Linked DNA regions of Oreochromis niloticus. The protein of the gene in region 1 interacts with the protein of each later gene in a biochemical or structural test. Links are inferred from orthologs where the notes say so. Each region holds a gene or a part of one and is shown on either strand. Other genes may lie near its edges.

What was found. The genes of interacting proteins can lie anywhere in the genome.
Region 2: the proteins of ripk1l (region 1) and ikbkg form a complex in vitro, tested with the Homo sapiens proteins (4 studies listed by BioGRID). The link is inferred for Oreochromis niloticus from reciprocal best matches to the Homo sapiens genes RIPK1 and IKBKG.

What each region holds. Positions count from the first base shown.
Region 1 is NC_031982.2:17,766,250-17,773,929, reverse strand, and holds the start of ripk1l (receptor-interacting serine/threonine-protein kinase 1), read left to right. Parts: upstream 1-4,670; 5' UTR 4,671-4,828; intron 4,829-5,107; 5' UTR 5,108-5,109; coding exon 5,110-5,270; intron 5,271-6,244; coding exon 6,245-6,401; intron 6,402-6,545; coding exon 6,546-6,683; intron 6,684-6,764; coding exon 6,765-6,996; intron 6,997-7,108; coding exon 7,109-7,258; intron 7,259-7,680. Other genes in the region: dusp22b (dual specificity protein phosphatase 22-B), read right to left, coding at 392-441, 1,328-1,410, 1,541-1,574, 1,992-2,012. UniProt on the Homo sapiens protein: Serine-threonine kinase which is a key regulator of TNF-mediated apoptosis, necroptosis and inflammatory pathways.
Region 2 is NC_031984.2:33,182,414-33,189,858, forward strand, and holds the start of ikbkg (NF-kappa-B essential modulator), read left to right. Parts: upstream 1-4,423; 5' UTR 4,424-4,491; intron 4,492-4,751; exon of another isoform or gene 4,752-5,103; 5' UTR 5,104-5,150; intron 5,151-5,699; 5' UTR 5,700-5,701; coding exon 5,702-5,840; intron 5,841-7,445. UniProt on the Homo sapiens protein: Regulatory subunit of the IKK core complex which phosphorylates inhibitors of NF-kappa-B thus leading to the dissociation of the inhibitor/NF-kappa-B complex and ultimately the degradation of the inhibitor.

The sequences.
Region 1 (7,680 bases):
AGCACTTGCCAACAATCGTGCTATAATTCAAGGACTGAGCTGCAAGACATTCGTCATTGCTTTTAATGTGAATATAATTAAAGACAATTGTAACACATGCACCACCCTTGGCCATCTTCTCTAGTTTCACATAAAAATAACTGCGTGTATTTGAACATCACACATACCTACCAAAATAAGTGCCAAGAGCTCAGTCCATTTGTGTTACTGTGCTCTTGTCAGAAAATAAATGTTTAGCTTGGGAAAGCATATCATTTACACTTTATCTTGGAGAAAATGAACCTCAGACGCCCACACAAAGAAGCCTCAAATGGATGTAGTACTCTCTCACTCTGCCTCAGCTTTTCATTGTTCTGTGCCGCGCTGCTGTGCTGCACAATTTGGTACTTACAGGTTTTGTGTGGGAAGGTCAGCTGCTGAAATGCAGAGATAGGTCATCTCCTGGTGGACAGAGTATACTAGTCAAATGTCACGTTCTCCTAAATATTTAACACAGATCAGCTAACAGAATGAAGAATATAATAAATGTCACCATCACACCAACACACTCAGTGATTCACGATGTGTGTTGCTTATGGTGAGGGCAGGCTGTGTAACTAAAGCTGATTAGCCACTATACTAAAAACGCCAGCCTAATTGTTCTGTTGTCCCATTAAATTAGCTCTGAGCTGTCAGGTCATGGACGGGGGACCTCTTTGGTGTCCTGCGGCAACCTCAGGCTATCAGGTTTCTTCCAACTTATCCCGATCTTGGAAGTTTAGAAACCAGGACAAGACCGACCGCGGGCTCTCTGTTGCATTTCTCTCTTTGTAAATGGTTTGTGCTCTCTATCCCTGCTGTTCAGGAGGTACCATTGGCAGGGTGGGGGGTGTCTCTACATGTTAAAGCGTCAAAATTAATAATCCAGAAAAAAATAATAATGAAGAGAGACTGCATAGTCCGAGCTGGTTGAGACAAGAACAACCGCCTACTCTGAAACCCACGCAGGCACACAACTCAGCACACTGATAAACCAACTGCTGTTGACTGGCATTTTACATGATACTCTAAAGAATCACATGAGTAAAAAAAAGTCCCCTGTGTATGTTTTACTCGCACGGAAACGAGAGCTGTTTGCTCAAGGAAAAGAGCCACTGATACACAGTGCTTCCTGAACAACCTGACAGACCGGGTCGACTGTGGAGGGTGTCTGACTGCTCTCAGCCAATCAATCTGCTCCGCTTGTTTGCTTGATGACTCTACTTAAAAATTTATTAGAAATTCAATATGTGTACCTCTATGATTCACCTGGGTGCTGAGACATTATAAGACAAAGAGAGCTTCTCACCTGGAGGATAGGAGCTGCACTGTCATGAATGGACAGGATGTGTGTAATGTTGTTTCTGGCTAACTGTTCTCTGTCCCTTGCATCTGACAGAAACACATAACAGCACAGTCGAACAGCGTTATTATATCTGCACACATATAAGAAGTCAATCAATACTAATAATAATAACAATAACAATAATAATAATAATAATAAAGAGAAAATGAGACACACCTTTGAAATTTCCCAGGTATAAATCAGGAAGGACCTATAAGGAAAAAGAATACTGATTGCTATATCAAAAGTAATCATTGATACTGAGGTGGTGCAAACTGATTAAAGACCAATCAGCTATAAAGATAAATGAAACCCTGGCAATATGAAGGTATAATTACAAACGGTGTCCTTTGACGATCTGAATAGATACATATTCAGCCACTAAATGATAATAACTAAAAAAATAATAATAACTATGCCAAAATAATTCAAGTTTGATCACTGAACTAGGCAATGATTAAGTATTCTAACAGCTATACTACATTTCCTAATACTGCAAAGTTAACGAGCAACCAAACTTTTTATTCTATGAAATATCCTAAAATGATAAACACATTTCCTTAAAACACTGAGGACCACTCACACAACAACTCCAACCTGAGGAGCACGGAAGAGAGGATAATCGTACCTTATTGATGCCATTACCCATGCTGAAAGACCCGCCTCACTGGAGAAGAGTTGAAAGAAATGCCCCACGCCGCAGCCTCGGTGCTGGAAAACGCGTATCCGGCGTCTCGATGCCTTCCCAAACCGGCTGAAGGGGAGCAAACGCAGTTGGTCTGCGTGCGAGCGAGCCGAGCACTGCTGCCCGAGGTTCCCGAGGTGGATGCTGGGAGCTGTAGTTTCCTAACGCAAAGGGCGTTGCAGACCTGTAGTAGATGTGTGTGGAGGAGTTAAACAGCCCCACATAAAAAATATAATTAAAGAGATCAACGAAAGGCTCAGTAATTTAATCAATATCGATCATGTTGCATGAAAAAAATGACATTAAAAAGTAATTTGGTTTTGTCTCTCTTGTTAATAATAAAGGCAGTCACAAAATGTATACATATATATATATATATATATATATATATATATATATACACACACAACAATAACAACACAGCCTTTTTGATGCTTTGCAGCCAGGACAAACAGGAAACAAGGCTATGAGTCAAGTACAGAATGGATCTTCTCACCTTCAACCAAAACCTCACAAAATACCTGACTTTATTTCCTTTGATGTCATAATAATAACACAGTGCAATAACACTGAAGATAGCTGTTTCTAAAAAAGCAAAACACAAAGTATTCACAGGTTTGTTTGTTCTGTTCCATACAGACGACCCAGTCTGGATGCCATCACCACCACCAGCAAAATGATGGCACCTGTGGAAAGGCTTTTCAAGCAGGAGAAAACAGGAAACAGATCTGCAAGCTGAATGTGTCTTATCACCCTCAACCAAGAGAACCTTGACTTTATTCCTTTTATCTAACAGGTTGAAATAACTAAAATAGATTGAAAACACAGCAAAAACCACTGTTTGCAACAAAGTGAGTTATAAAATATTTACTGATTTATTTATGTACTGTTTCCCCTCCTACAGACCAGCCAGTGTGGATGCCCTCTCCACCAACAACACAACTTTTATTGTGACACCTCTGGAAAGGCTCTTTCCAGAGGCTTATCCAAATGATTTTCCAAACAACATATGAAGGCACGTTTTGTTAGAAAAAACAACAACTTTAATCTATGCTGCAGACATAATCAACTAGATGCATTCTGGCAGTTAACCAGTCTGAACAGAAATAGAGTGTGACTGCTAAAGGAGGCACTGAGAAACCAACGACAAGTACGGGACTCTACAGTGCTGCTATTACAGAGAAATGATGGCATATGTCAGATCTCTACTGATAATTACTGTGATAAAGACATCAACAGGAAGTGCTGCTACCCACTGCCCAACATTGACAGCACATTTACACCGCAGACACCAGTTCACTTAACTTCCTGGTAATGCGTTGTTTTGCTATGTGGGGCAGCTTGTGACCGCCAGCCTCTACTCTACAGCTTGAATGGGAGGAAAGCATCTGCGACAGAGATGTGATGCACTTACTACACAGAGTAATGCAAGCTGGTTATCAGTCCACCCATCCGGTTTATGCATGAGGGTATGTATACTTTTCCCCTAGTTTTATTGCTTTTAAGAGCTCTGCACACTGGTGAATGTACTCTAATAGTAATCAATCAATCTAAAATGTTACTTGGATTCACAAGAAAACTGGGCAAGAGACAACATTAGATATTTGTATCACTTCTTGTAGTTTTGCCATAAAGTAACTTGAGTTTATACAGATAGTCAACACACTAATGGACCTAGACCCATTTGTAAACTGCCAAAACTGAATGAGGACGCTGCCCCGATACTGTGCCACTAAACAAGGTCATCTATGTGAATCTCCAAGCAGTCATAAGTAGGTGGAATTTAAGCTTGAATTCAGTAATTTCACTCACCAGTTTGGTTTTTGTCTTTTAATTGTTGGTAAGAGCACTCCATTTCTCATCAACTGCTATATAACCTGAAGGTTACCACCAATAAATGTAATTAACAGAAAAAAAGTAGAAGAAAAAAACTTGCAAGCCAATAAAATGGAGACAATATGAGCCAGGTAAATATGATACTGCTTTGATGTGGCTTTGGTGTGCAAAAGGAGGAATTTATAGTGTGGGCGTTCACAGATAGGCTGCCCAAAATGTAGGCCTACTTGTAGTACATCGCCCACATTGTCAGTGGCTACAATTCAGGTGGTTTCCCGCTCTAGTTTCGCATAAATGTTCAATTTATCAATGAACTTGGGTTTTTTTTCAGTCAGTGCGTCATTTTAATTACTCCATCATATTAACTTGTTTTTTGGATTTTTTTGTTATTACTTTAAAAAACAGAAGCAAACAAACAAAAGAAAACGTCAAAGTCCTCATCTTAACTTAGCTTAGCTTACATCTTAATTTTTTAATTCGATGAGAACGTTTTTTCCCCTCTTATGACAGCTGCCGTTTAGATCCAGCTAGAACGATTCAACTGTGTCACCATCATGAAATATGAACAGGCCTCCCCTGCTAACAGTTTCACCACTAGGTGGCGCCAACGTCATACTCAATGATTTACAGCCATTGGCAGAAATTGCAGAATGTTGCTCAAAAAACAAAACAAAAAAACAATGTGAACACAACAGATAAGACAAGTAAACGCACAAAGATTTATAAGTTTTTTATCCCGTATTTCTGCTTTGTGTTAAAGGCATCTCCGACAGTACATACCTGAATCTACTAGCAGCCCTGGATTGTTTCTGTCATCGATTTATAAGCCTGTTTGTAGTTTTTTTTTTTTTTATCTTGCGCGTTTCACTTTTGAAGTAGGTCGTCGAGGAAATCCCGGAAATAGAAATAAACTGCTTTACTTGGACTTTTCCAGCACATTTTCGGTAACTGTTTTGTTTGATACTGGAAGTGAATGGGGGTGTTCCCCCTACACTTTTGTTTCCCGAGTAATTAATTTAGTTATGGAAGTGAAGTCAGTTAAAGATGCCGACACTTTGGGATAGCCTGTGCTGTTAGCTGACCTCTGTGACAGTGTTGTGATTGTTACGGATGGTTGATTAGCCGATTCAGTCATTAACCTGTGTCCTGTGCGCTTTGTTACGGCTTTGTTTGAGCTGTAGGTTTTTTGGTTTTTCCGATGTGACACTGTGAATTCTTCCCAGGGATGGCCACCGCGCCTGAGTACTCACTTCACATGAGGTCGACGGATCTCATTATAAAAGAACCCCTGGATTACGGAGGTTTTGGAGAAGTTTACTTATGTTATCATGTGACGCTGGGACAGGTGGTGTTAAAGACTATGTACACTGGACGTCTGCGCAACGAGTAAGTTGTTGTTGTTGTAGTTGTTGTAATGTGTTACTGCATGTGCTACCCAAGGGTATTCCCCTTCGTCCAATGATAACTTGAATCATGTGTCCCGCGAAGTTTTCCACGCAACCAAGCGAGACACTTTTAGAGCGTGCAGAAAGTATAATAACACAAATGAATACACACGGATGTAAATGAATGTACTCGTTATTACGGTTGTCTATACCAAGGTAGTGTGCTGTGAAAAGGGACACTACCTTGGTATTAAGTCCAACCACTTCCTTTTTGCACAAGGAAATAGAGACAGGTTGATTCAGCTCAATGCCGATGAAGTCCAGCATCCGTTTTTTATATCCGCATATATGAATTAATTATTCTATTAATTATTGACTATTTAGTTGTTTAAAAGTTGTGAAGAATATCTGTTCACTTTTTATTTTTTGAGACAACATTTCAAATGTAGTGCGTTGTCCCCTTAACAGTCTGAATATAAATAAATGCAAAATGTATTTATAATTGTATTTATGTATTTATAAATACAAAATATTAACAGTGATTATAAAAAAATGTTGCTGATACTTTTACTTTGTTTGACCTCTCAGCTTATTGTTTGTATCTCAGATGCACTGTGAGGCACATGCCAATCCAAAGTCTTGCCTCAGTACTTTCAATCAGCTCCACCAAATACCCAATTTTTTTTTTTTACACATTTTTTAAAAATGTTGTCTTTATCTTAATCCTTATCAGTATAAAATGATATATTGATTTTTGTAGCACTAGAAACAGAATCACTGCTCTGGCTTGTCTGTATGATTATAAATGGTAACAGAAAGACAGAATTAAAGACTATATTTCTTACTTATCTGTTACTGCACGCCCACACATGCATAAATATCAGAATTGGGTTATTGAAGTCGGTAAGAATATGCTCACATTGTCCCTTTTACTATGCAAAAGCTTTCTCTTATTACATTTAACAAACTTTCCAGGGAGAGTAAAAAATCACTACTGGAGGAGGGAAAGATCATGGCGAGCCTGAACCACGAGCGAGTGGTCAAGTTGCTGGGTGTGATTATGGAGGATCGAGATTGCTCTCTTGTCATGGAACTCATCCCCAGAGGCAACCTACTGGACATGCTGGAGACCGTTAGTAGGCTTAAATCAATAAATACCTGTAATAAACACAGCTTTTGTGGTTTTCATCTATAGCGTGTAACCTTAAAGAGTTCCACTTTTGTCAGTTTATCATGAACTGAAGCATTATTACACTATAATCTCTCTGTTCTTCAGGTCAGTGTGCCAGTATCTATCAAGGGAAGAATCATCTTAGAGATTTTGGAGGGAATGATGTACCTCACAGAAAAGAATGTCATACACAAGGACATCAAGCCGGAAAACATCTTAGTGGACAAGGATTTTCACATCAAGGTACATTACACTCTCTGGGTCATGACACATGTAGGATTCTGTCTGCTGGCATTCACAGTCATGGTGAAGGATTTCTTGTAGATTGCAGATCTTGGTCTGGCCACCTGCCAAACGTGGAGTAAACTCACCAAGGAGGAATCTCGAAGGAAGAGCCGTATGAGGCAATCGACTGGTGTGAGAGGAGCTGGCACACTGAGCTACATGGCCCCGGAGCACCTGGAGAGTATTCATAATCCCTCCACTGAGAAGTCTGACGTGTACAGTTTTGCCATCGTGGTGTGGGTCATTCTCACAGGGGAAGAGCCATATGCAAGTGAGCTGTGATGTCATGACATGCCAAAGTTTGCCAAAGATTACCAGATGCAGCATATCCTCTTACAGCATGTCATTGCAGCCATTTAAAAAAAGCATCTTTTTATGCCCAGATGCCAGGAGTGAAGACCAAATCAGCCAGTGTGTTCGTAACGGTGACCGACCGGCAGAGGATCTTATTCCAGAGGACACGCCTTCTGAAATAATTCAGCTCATGAAAAGATGCTGGGATCACAATCCTCAGGAACGACCGACTTTTAAAGGTTTCCTTTTTGTGTATTTTAAGCAAAATAGCACTCATTGATGGAACCACGTACACTCATCAGCCATTTCATTAGGTACATTTCCCAGAAATTTTGGTCCATATCAACACGATAGGATCACACAGTTGCTGCAGATCTGTCAGCAGCACATCCAAGATGCAAATCTCCTGTTCCACCACATCCAACAAATGCTCTGTCTGACAGATCTGGCAGTTTGAGTGCAGTGAACTCTGTCTGTGGTCTTATGCTGCTCTAACACATCTGCCACAAGACTCGACTTGTTGCGCATTCAGATGAGATGCTCTTCTGTAATGAGTGGTTATGTGAATTACTCTTGCTGTTGAGTAATTGTTGCCTTCCTGTCAGCTCAAAGCAGTCTGCCCATTGTCCTCTGAGGTCTAGTATCAATAGTATACAATACA
Region 2 (7,445 bases), on another chromosome or scaffold:
TTTACTGACTTGATACAAGTGAGTCCTGATTTCTTTTATAGTCCTTCAAGGTGACAAAGTCGTATGTTTTAGAAAGATATTAATAGTTTGATTATAATTCAATTTAGGATATACCCCAAATATCTAACCAGTTTTTGTCACCGTCATCGAAGTATTGTCCGTTAGTACTAATGGTACCAATATTAAAAGTTAATATTTGTATATATGGCACTGTTATGTCACTTAGCTGTAACCAGGGCTGGACTGGGACAAAAAATCGGCCGGGCATTTTGACTAGAGACTGGCCCACCAGGATAGAGATTGAAAATGTGACGTCATTCAGGGGTAAAACCGCAAAGGATTCTGGGAACTTGTGGCAAGAGGTACTAGCGCACGCAGGCTTTCAATTGAACTCAGTTACACAGCGATAAAAAGAAACCCAAAAAATGGCAAGAAGCTGTTGTATTATTAACTGCAATAACCGGTCGCATGACAGCCAAGGGAAGCCGACGGGTAAAGAGATCGGGGTTTTTTTTATCGGATGTCGTTGAAGAGAAATTTTTTAAGCCATGTTTCCGAAGTAAGCAGTGGCGTGTCTAGAAAATTTTTGTTGGGGGGGCCAGGTAGGGGCACAGATTTGGAGAAGGGTGGCAGATGTAATTGGCAGATAATGTTAAAAAAAAAAATCTACCAACCGTTAACCATCATTCAATAACCCTGTAAACCTAATAACTGAATTTGCTTTTGACTCTTATTAGAATGAGGTTTTAACCACTACGGTGCAAAGTTTTTAGATACTGCGTTGATGAAGTACAAGAGATACAATCAGTGCTTTGTCAGTGTTTACTCAGCATTCAAGGACAGCAATATTTGCGTAGTATTTTTACTGACATATAGGGCACATATGTTTTGGGCAAAAACATTTTTGAATATTAAAATACAAACATTTTTAACATACAATTGCCAAATTAGCCAATGCAAAACTTTATCTGCCTATTAAAAAAAGAAGATGATCTTCTTACAAACTGGTGTTTGATTTTGAAACAGGGAAAAAGTGGGGTAACAAATGAAAAGACTAACATTTGAATGAAACCTGAAAGCAAGTAAATACTTTCTATGCCGCCTTATGGTAAACTTTGGTAATACTGATGTATAAAGAACAACACTGGCTGATGATGAAATACAGCTGGCATGGTGACACTGCCAGTATTAACCTGCAGGGCTGGACTGGGACAAAAAATTGGGCATTTTGACTACAGACCGGCCCACCAGGTATTAAAGCCTTTGAATGAAAACAAACGCTGTTGTGACAGTGATGTACACTGTCTTGTTGGTATATGTATGATTTCTATCAATTTTACGTCAGATAAAAACTTTGTTCGCAAGATTCAGATAATTATTTAATAAAAGCTAGATATTTTAAATGAGAATAAGTAAGAAAAGTATTTCTTTGTGCCCCCCTTTCCCTGTTAATGCCCTACCTGGCCCCCTGGCATAACTTTGCTAGACCCGCCCCTGCACAGTTACCAGCTGTCAGCTACGTAGAAAAGGATCCTGGTGTTATTTGTCTCTCAGAAACAGTTCATAACTTCCCTTCAACTCATCCATGTCACCTAAAAGGTAAACCTGTTTCTCCATCACCTGTTCAGCTCTGATGATTCAGTAAGGACATCTCCTGGTTTCATCTTCATGTTTCCCTCTCACCACATATCCAAACCGACATCATGACCAGCAGCTTTACAGCTGTGGCTCCAGCAAACATCAGCTGATACTAGAAATTAATATTAAATAAATTCTAACAACAGCTGATCAAGCTTAAACGTGCTGCTGTTGTTTAGCGCGACATCCACTGGTTTCCTCTTTCTGGCGCAAAGTGGGCGATAAACAAACAAAAAAGAAAACCCGATCAGCTGATCATTGATCAGTTTCATGATTGAAGTAGCAACAGGAGAGGGAGGGGGAGAGAATGAGAGAAGAGGAGGCAGCTGTGCAGCAAAGACACAGAATAACTCCAGCTTTGTGTCTTTTTCATTCTAGCTGAAGTTCGGGACAAACTGCGTCTCTTCTCAGCTCAATACAAAACCTGTAATATTGTCTCTGAATGAGGGACCATTTCATTTTTAAGGAGCCGTTGGCAACTCTACTAACTAACCTTATGAATAAAATAAAGTTCACCATCAGTAACATCACAGCATCCACCCAGCTGTATAGAAACTCCATCATGCTAGCTAGTACGCAGTAAGAGTTATTGTAACTGACTGTAAAAAGTCAGCACAACGAAAATAAACTCCACCTAAACTTGGTTTATATCTGACCCAGATAGACTCCAGGTCATAACTTCTTACCTGAAGTTCAGTTCACTTGACAATTGGACTGGCGGCTGCCTCGGGTCTCTCCTCCTCCTGGCTCCCCTTTCCCTCATCCACCTGCTAGCCGCCGTGGAAGCTCCGCCATGCTCGATGGCCAGTCCAGCTATGTTAAACTGTTAATCTTTCGCCGAAAAACTGTTTTCTGTGGTGCTGTCTTTCGTGCTTGGTTCTCCTACCTTTGCTAACATGATGCTCATAGCGCAGAAGCCGATGCTGTATTCTCTTACACTCGGATATCTGAGCTTCACTGTAAAAACATAATCGTACATTTGATATTTCATTGGATTTTATTGTTTTGGCTTCGGGGTGGCCAGTCTGGTTGGGGGGGTGGCCTGTGCCCCCCCAGGCCACCCCGCTGGACACGCCACAGGAAGTAAGAGCCAACGGATGGTCTGGATATACCAAATATAACATCTCAGAACACTCCAGCTCACATGTTAGTCTGCTCCAAGCATTCCCACAAAGGTCAGTGTTTTGTAGTAGTTAATACGTCATTTTTCTTAACATAATTGGTGATATAGGTTACAAGCAAGTCTGGCGCTGAACAGAAATTGTCGCGCTATGCTTCTTTATTTATTGTGCATAAATAGTGAATTGTCCTGACACAATATTGCGTTTCGCTTCTGTTATTACCATGACAAAAACATATACTTTTATTCACAGGATAAAACAGTTGTTTTGTATCACTAATTGTCCAGTGCAATTACAACATACAATATTATTGTCACTGCTACATTTCTGTAATGCGTACCAGAAATTATTTCCACTACTAATTAATTACCGTTGAGCTCAAAGGTTATATTAATAAACGGTTAACGATTGTGTATTTATGAAGACGATTTGTGAGACTGGTAAGCTTACCTTTGTTTGTACGATGGTCTTTTGTTCTACACAGTGCATTTCAAGGTCCTGTACCCATCCGTCGGTAAACTGTACCTGAGCTTGTTGCAGTGACCTGAAGTTACTAAAAACTTCAGGAGTGTATGCACTCACTCCAAGAACCTTATAATTATAAATCTGAGCGTGGTAAAAGTTGGGCAGCACGCTAACGTCCTTTGTCCACTCTGTGTGCTCATAAGGGTCTGACCCTTTCACTCCTTTGATTTTTTCCTCATATCTTTTCTTTGCCTTTTCGTCGAGTCTGTCTTTGTACGGACCGGCATTGTTCTCCTTAGTTTTGTACATTCCTTTTTTGTGCGGCAAAGAAAAACCAAGAAGATATTGGAACCGGAGAATGAACGTTTTGCGGTGCTGCAAAAGCTTGCATTTGATGCGTACTTGGATTGTTTTGCCACGAGTTCCCGGCATGCAATGCGCGAAAGTCACGTGATCTGTCAATCGCCTTTGCATGAAAACAACTGCTTTGATGTACACTGCCTTGTTGGTATATATGTATCAATCTAATAAACTTAAACCTACACCATCCTCCCTATTCTGGATTTTAAACAGTACATAGCGGAAACAAAAAGACTGCTTGGTCGAGTTAACCTCCTGAACTATCTACAACACATGGTAGAAACCTTAAATTAAGATCAAGAACACTAGAGGTGAGACATGATCATTAATTAATATTAAAATTAATAAATGACAGATTTAGTGATATTTTCATAAACACCTCCTTTCCTTTTTTTGTTCTCCATTTTCTTTAGTTCGTCTATAAGATTGCTAAACAAGGGGGAGGGTGCATCCGGCCTCCTCGGCTGTAATTGGTCCAGCCCAGAGTCGATCATGACCAATTGGCCAATCCAACACCTTTCATTATATATACCCTTCCTAAAAAAAAAAAATAAAAAAAAAAATCCATCGGCCCATAAAATCAAAAAATCGCCAGCGGCCCACCGGGCAAATGCCCGGTATGCCCGATGGCCAGTCCAGCTATGGCTGTAACTATTGTGTCTCTGTGTAATTTAGGCATGAAATCAGCAAAATCGATAAAACTGGTCATTTAAGATTTAAGCATGTTAGCTCTTTTAAAGCTTTAAGCCAGTGAGTGACAGTGATTTCAGGCTGGTGCCAAGACAGTGCAGTACATTTAACATTTGAGTTGACTGATTTTATTGGTCTGAGACTTTTAAGTCAGCACCTCATTGCTAGACTGACACAGAAAACCACGTGACTGACCTGACACATTCAATTTTAGCATGTAAGTCAATAAATCAATTATAAAAAGGATAATTTATTGTTCTAAATCCATTTCATGATGGTTTCTGTCAGATAAAATGCTGACATTTTGTAAAAGAAACCACATTTTTGTTTTAGTTAACAGCCCAGTTTATGTTAATGTTTTAGATATAATGGGTAATCCATTTCAGTTAAAATGGGTCACCATTTGAGTTGAGTTTCAGAAGATGTTCTATTAATTCTAATAAATAATGGGATGTGAAACATTTCAAACTAGCAAGACTTAGGGGTTGACAGCCTGAAAGACTTAACTCAGGGTGAAATTTTCCCTCTTATTTCCTGAGCTAACAACACTCGCTTCAGCTTTAACAGATAGCTCAGCCCATGTTAAATACGTTCAGTCCGTTGGAATAATATTACAAACCAGGTACAATATCTTTCTGAAGACAGACAGCTCGTTAATGTAGTTCTAGTTTAATGTCAGTCAACAAGTGCCTAAGATTACTTTGTTGCCTTTTTGGTTTGTTATCCTAGCTAGCCCATTAGCTAAGTCGCTAGCTGTTTAGCGCCAGCTCCCTGACGCTGGTTTAATTACGTTAAATACCCTTACTAACAATTTGTATGTGACTGACAGCTGTGTTGTCTGATACTCTACGCGACTGGAGTGAAAAAGGAGATTGGGTAAGTAAAGTTTCCCATAGTAATACAGCTACATTACCTATCAGATGGGCTTAGTACGGGGGGCATGTTTGATACTGTTTGTTTTTTTTGGGGGAGAAAATAACAAGTTTATAACGTTACCTATAACACAGCTGGTGCGATCTGGTGCTTTTGGCTAAAATTGGCGACTGGCGTTTATACTTTAATTAATCTAGATTTGTGTCGAGTCCATTGCTTCGGTAGTGCAGATGACGTAATGTTTTCCTCCATTCCTGTACGTGAGCTCAAAAATCACTTGCATTTTATCGGTGACTCATGACACAGACGTCTATCGTCAGGTCAGATACCCATCACACACACAAGCTGGACTTGGATTTAAACGTTGTATTAAAGTGAAAATGAAAGTTTGCAGCCTGGGCCGCCTAAATGGCGCTGAGGCCTGGTCTGCCATGTGTCATGTGATGAAGAATGCCGGGAAGGTCATCGGCATATTGATGTTCAATATTAATAACGCTTTAATTAAACAAGAAATGTGTGTATATGTGGTGTAATGTTGATGTTTTTCTGCAGTGATGGTGCAGCCACAACCCGATGGCCCCATGCAGTGGGAGATGTCCGGAGAAGAGAGTGGAGCGACCCTCAGGGTCCCACCAGAGCTTGCAGCCAATGAAGTGGTGACCAGATTGTTAAGTGACAACCAGCAGCTTAGAGGTAAGCGTGTTCACACGAAAAAAAAGGTCACTTAAAAGAATATTGCTGTACTGAGTGATGAGCTCAAACAGCAGACTCAGAAAGAAGAAGGAAGAAAGAAGCAAATCTTGTCCCTTAAAAACCATTTTAGAAGCATATTTGTGTGGTTCATCATTTTAAAGGATTTATCTACATTAACTCTTGAATTCAGTGGTCACTGGGACATACAAACTTTATGCAGAGATAACAAATACTTCAAAGGTTACCGACTTTGCTCCAGGAAGCTTTTTTCCCCCCTAGAAGTTCTGTTTCTATCAGCGTCTTTGCTCTTAAAGTGTCACATCTCATTCTTACAATGTCTCTGGTGTTAGTCACATTTGTATGGTAAGGTGAAGACCCTACAGCATAATAGAGGGAAAACCCCAAAGAGCAGACAATCCCCTATGAGCAAGTATCTGATGATGGTGGTAAGGCAGAACTATCATTTAACAGGAAGAGTCGTCCGATTTGTACATTTGTAAAAACCTCAATCTATTTTCAGATTTCCTAGTGTAATAAAATCTACAGATGTGTGTGCAGATATTAATGGCTGAAAAATAGACAGTTCATGAGTTAGAGATATACTTGTGCCGCTGTAGATGTAAATATCTGTGAGAATGCTTGTCTCTAACTACAGGTCATTTACACACTTGTACACTCATTTCCAGGTCTCAGTTTGCAAGCAAATGTTACTAAAGATTTACCAATTCCTTTATTCACATTTACAAATTAGTAAGCATTTATGGAGACCTAATGATGCATGCAACGAATAAAATAGAACAATTCTTCACACCTGTTTGCAAGGGTTTTGACTACAACAGATACCTCACAAAGCAGCAGGATCCCCCTTTACCTACACCACAAATACAGACAGAAAAGCATAAGCTAGATCAGCAGAAACATGGAGGCGTTTCATTTGCATCACTCAAAGTGTTTGCTGGACACTGGTCACAGTGTCCAGGTGATATTACACCACCATACACACCTTGTGAGTCACAGCACTTTAACTGTGTCCAGTATAAAGTATCGGTATGCTTTCTCTCTCAATATAAGTGCACAAAAAACTACTTTATTAATTTAAGTAATGTGGTGTGTTTACTGGGTACACATTACTGTTTCAAAGGAACATTTAAACAAAGTATTTTTAGTCATTCACTGTTGAGTTTATAGAGTGTAAAGAGGAAGATTTCTATATTCAGTTATACAGCAAACTCTATCTGAAGTTAACTAGAATTAGCTGGCGTTAACCTCTATGTGCTGCAGCTCATGTAAATTACTTCAACTGAGAAATGTTTTTACTGCTAATAAAGTTGAACATTTATTTTGTCAACATTTGTATAATGGTAAACATGACTAACATACACAGTAGCGTAACAGAGGAAGGCAAGGAAAGAGTCAGCAAACTCAGTCTGTATCATTATTTAAACTCTATGCTCATGTTGACATGAGCTACTGTTGTTAGTCAGTTAGGAAAGGGTGTAATAAAAATAAAAGTCATATCTGATTGCATTTCCAAGAACTGAGCAAGAGTTTGTAAAAGTATAATTAGATTTGATGTGGCAGTAGAACAGTGTTTCAGTTAAGCAA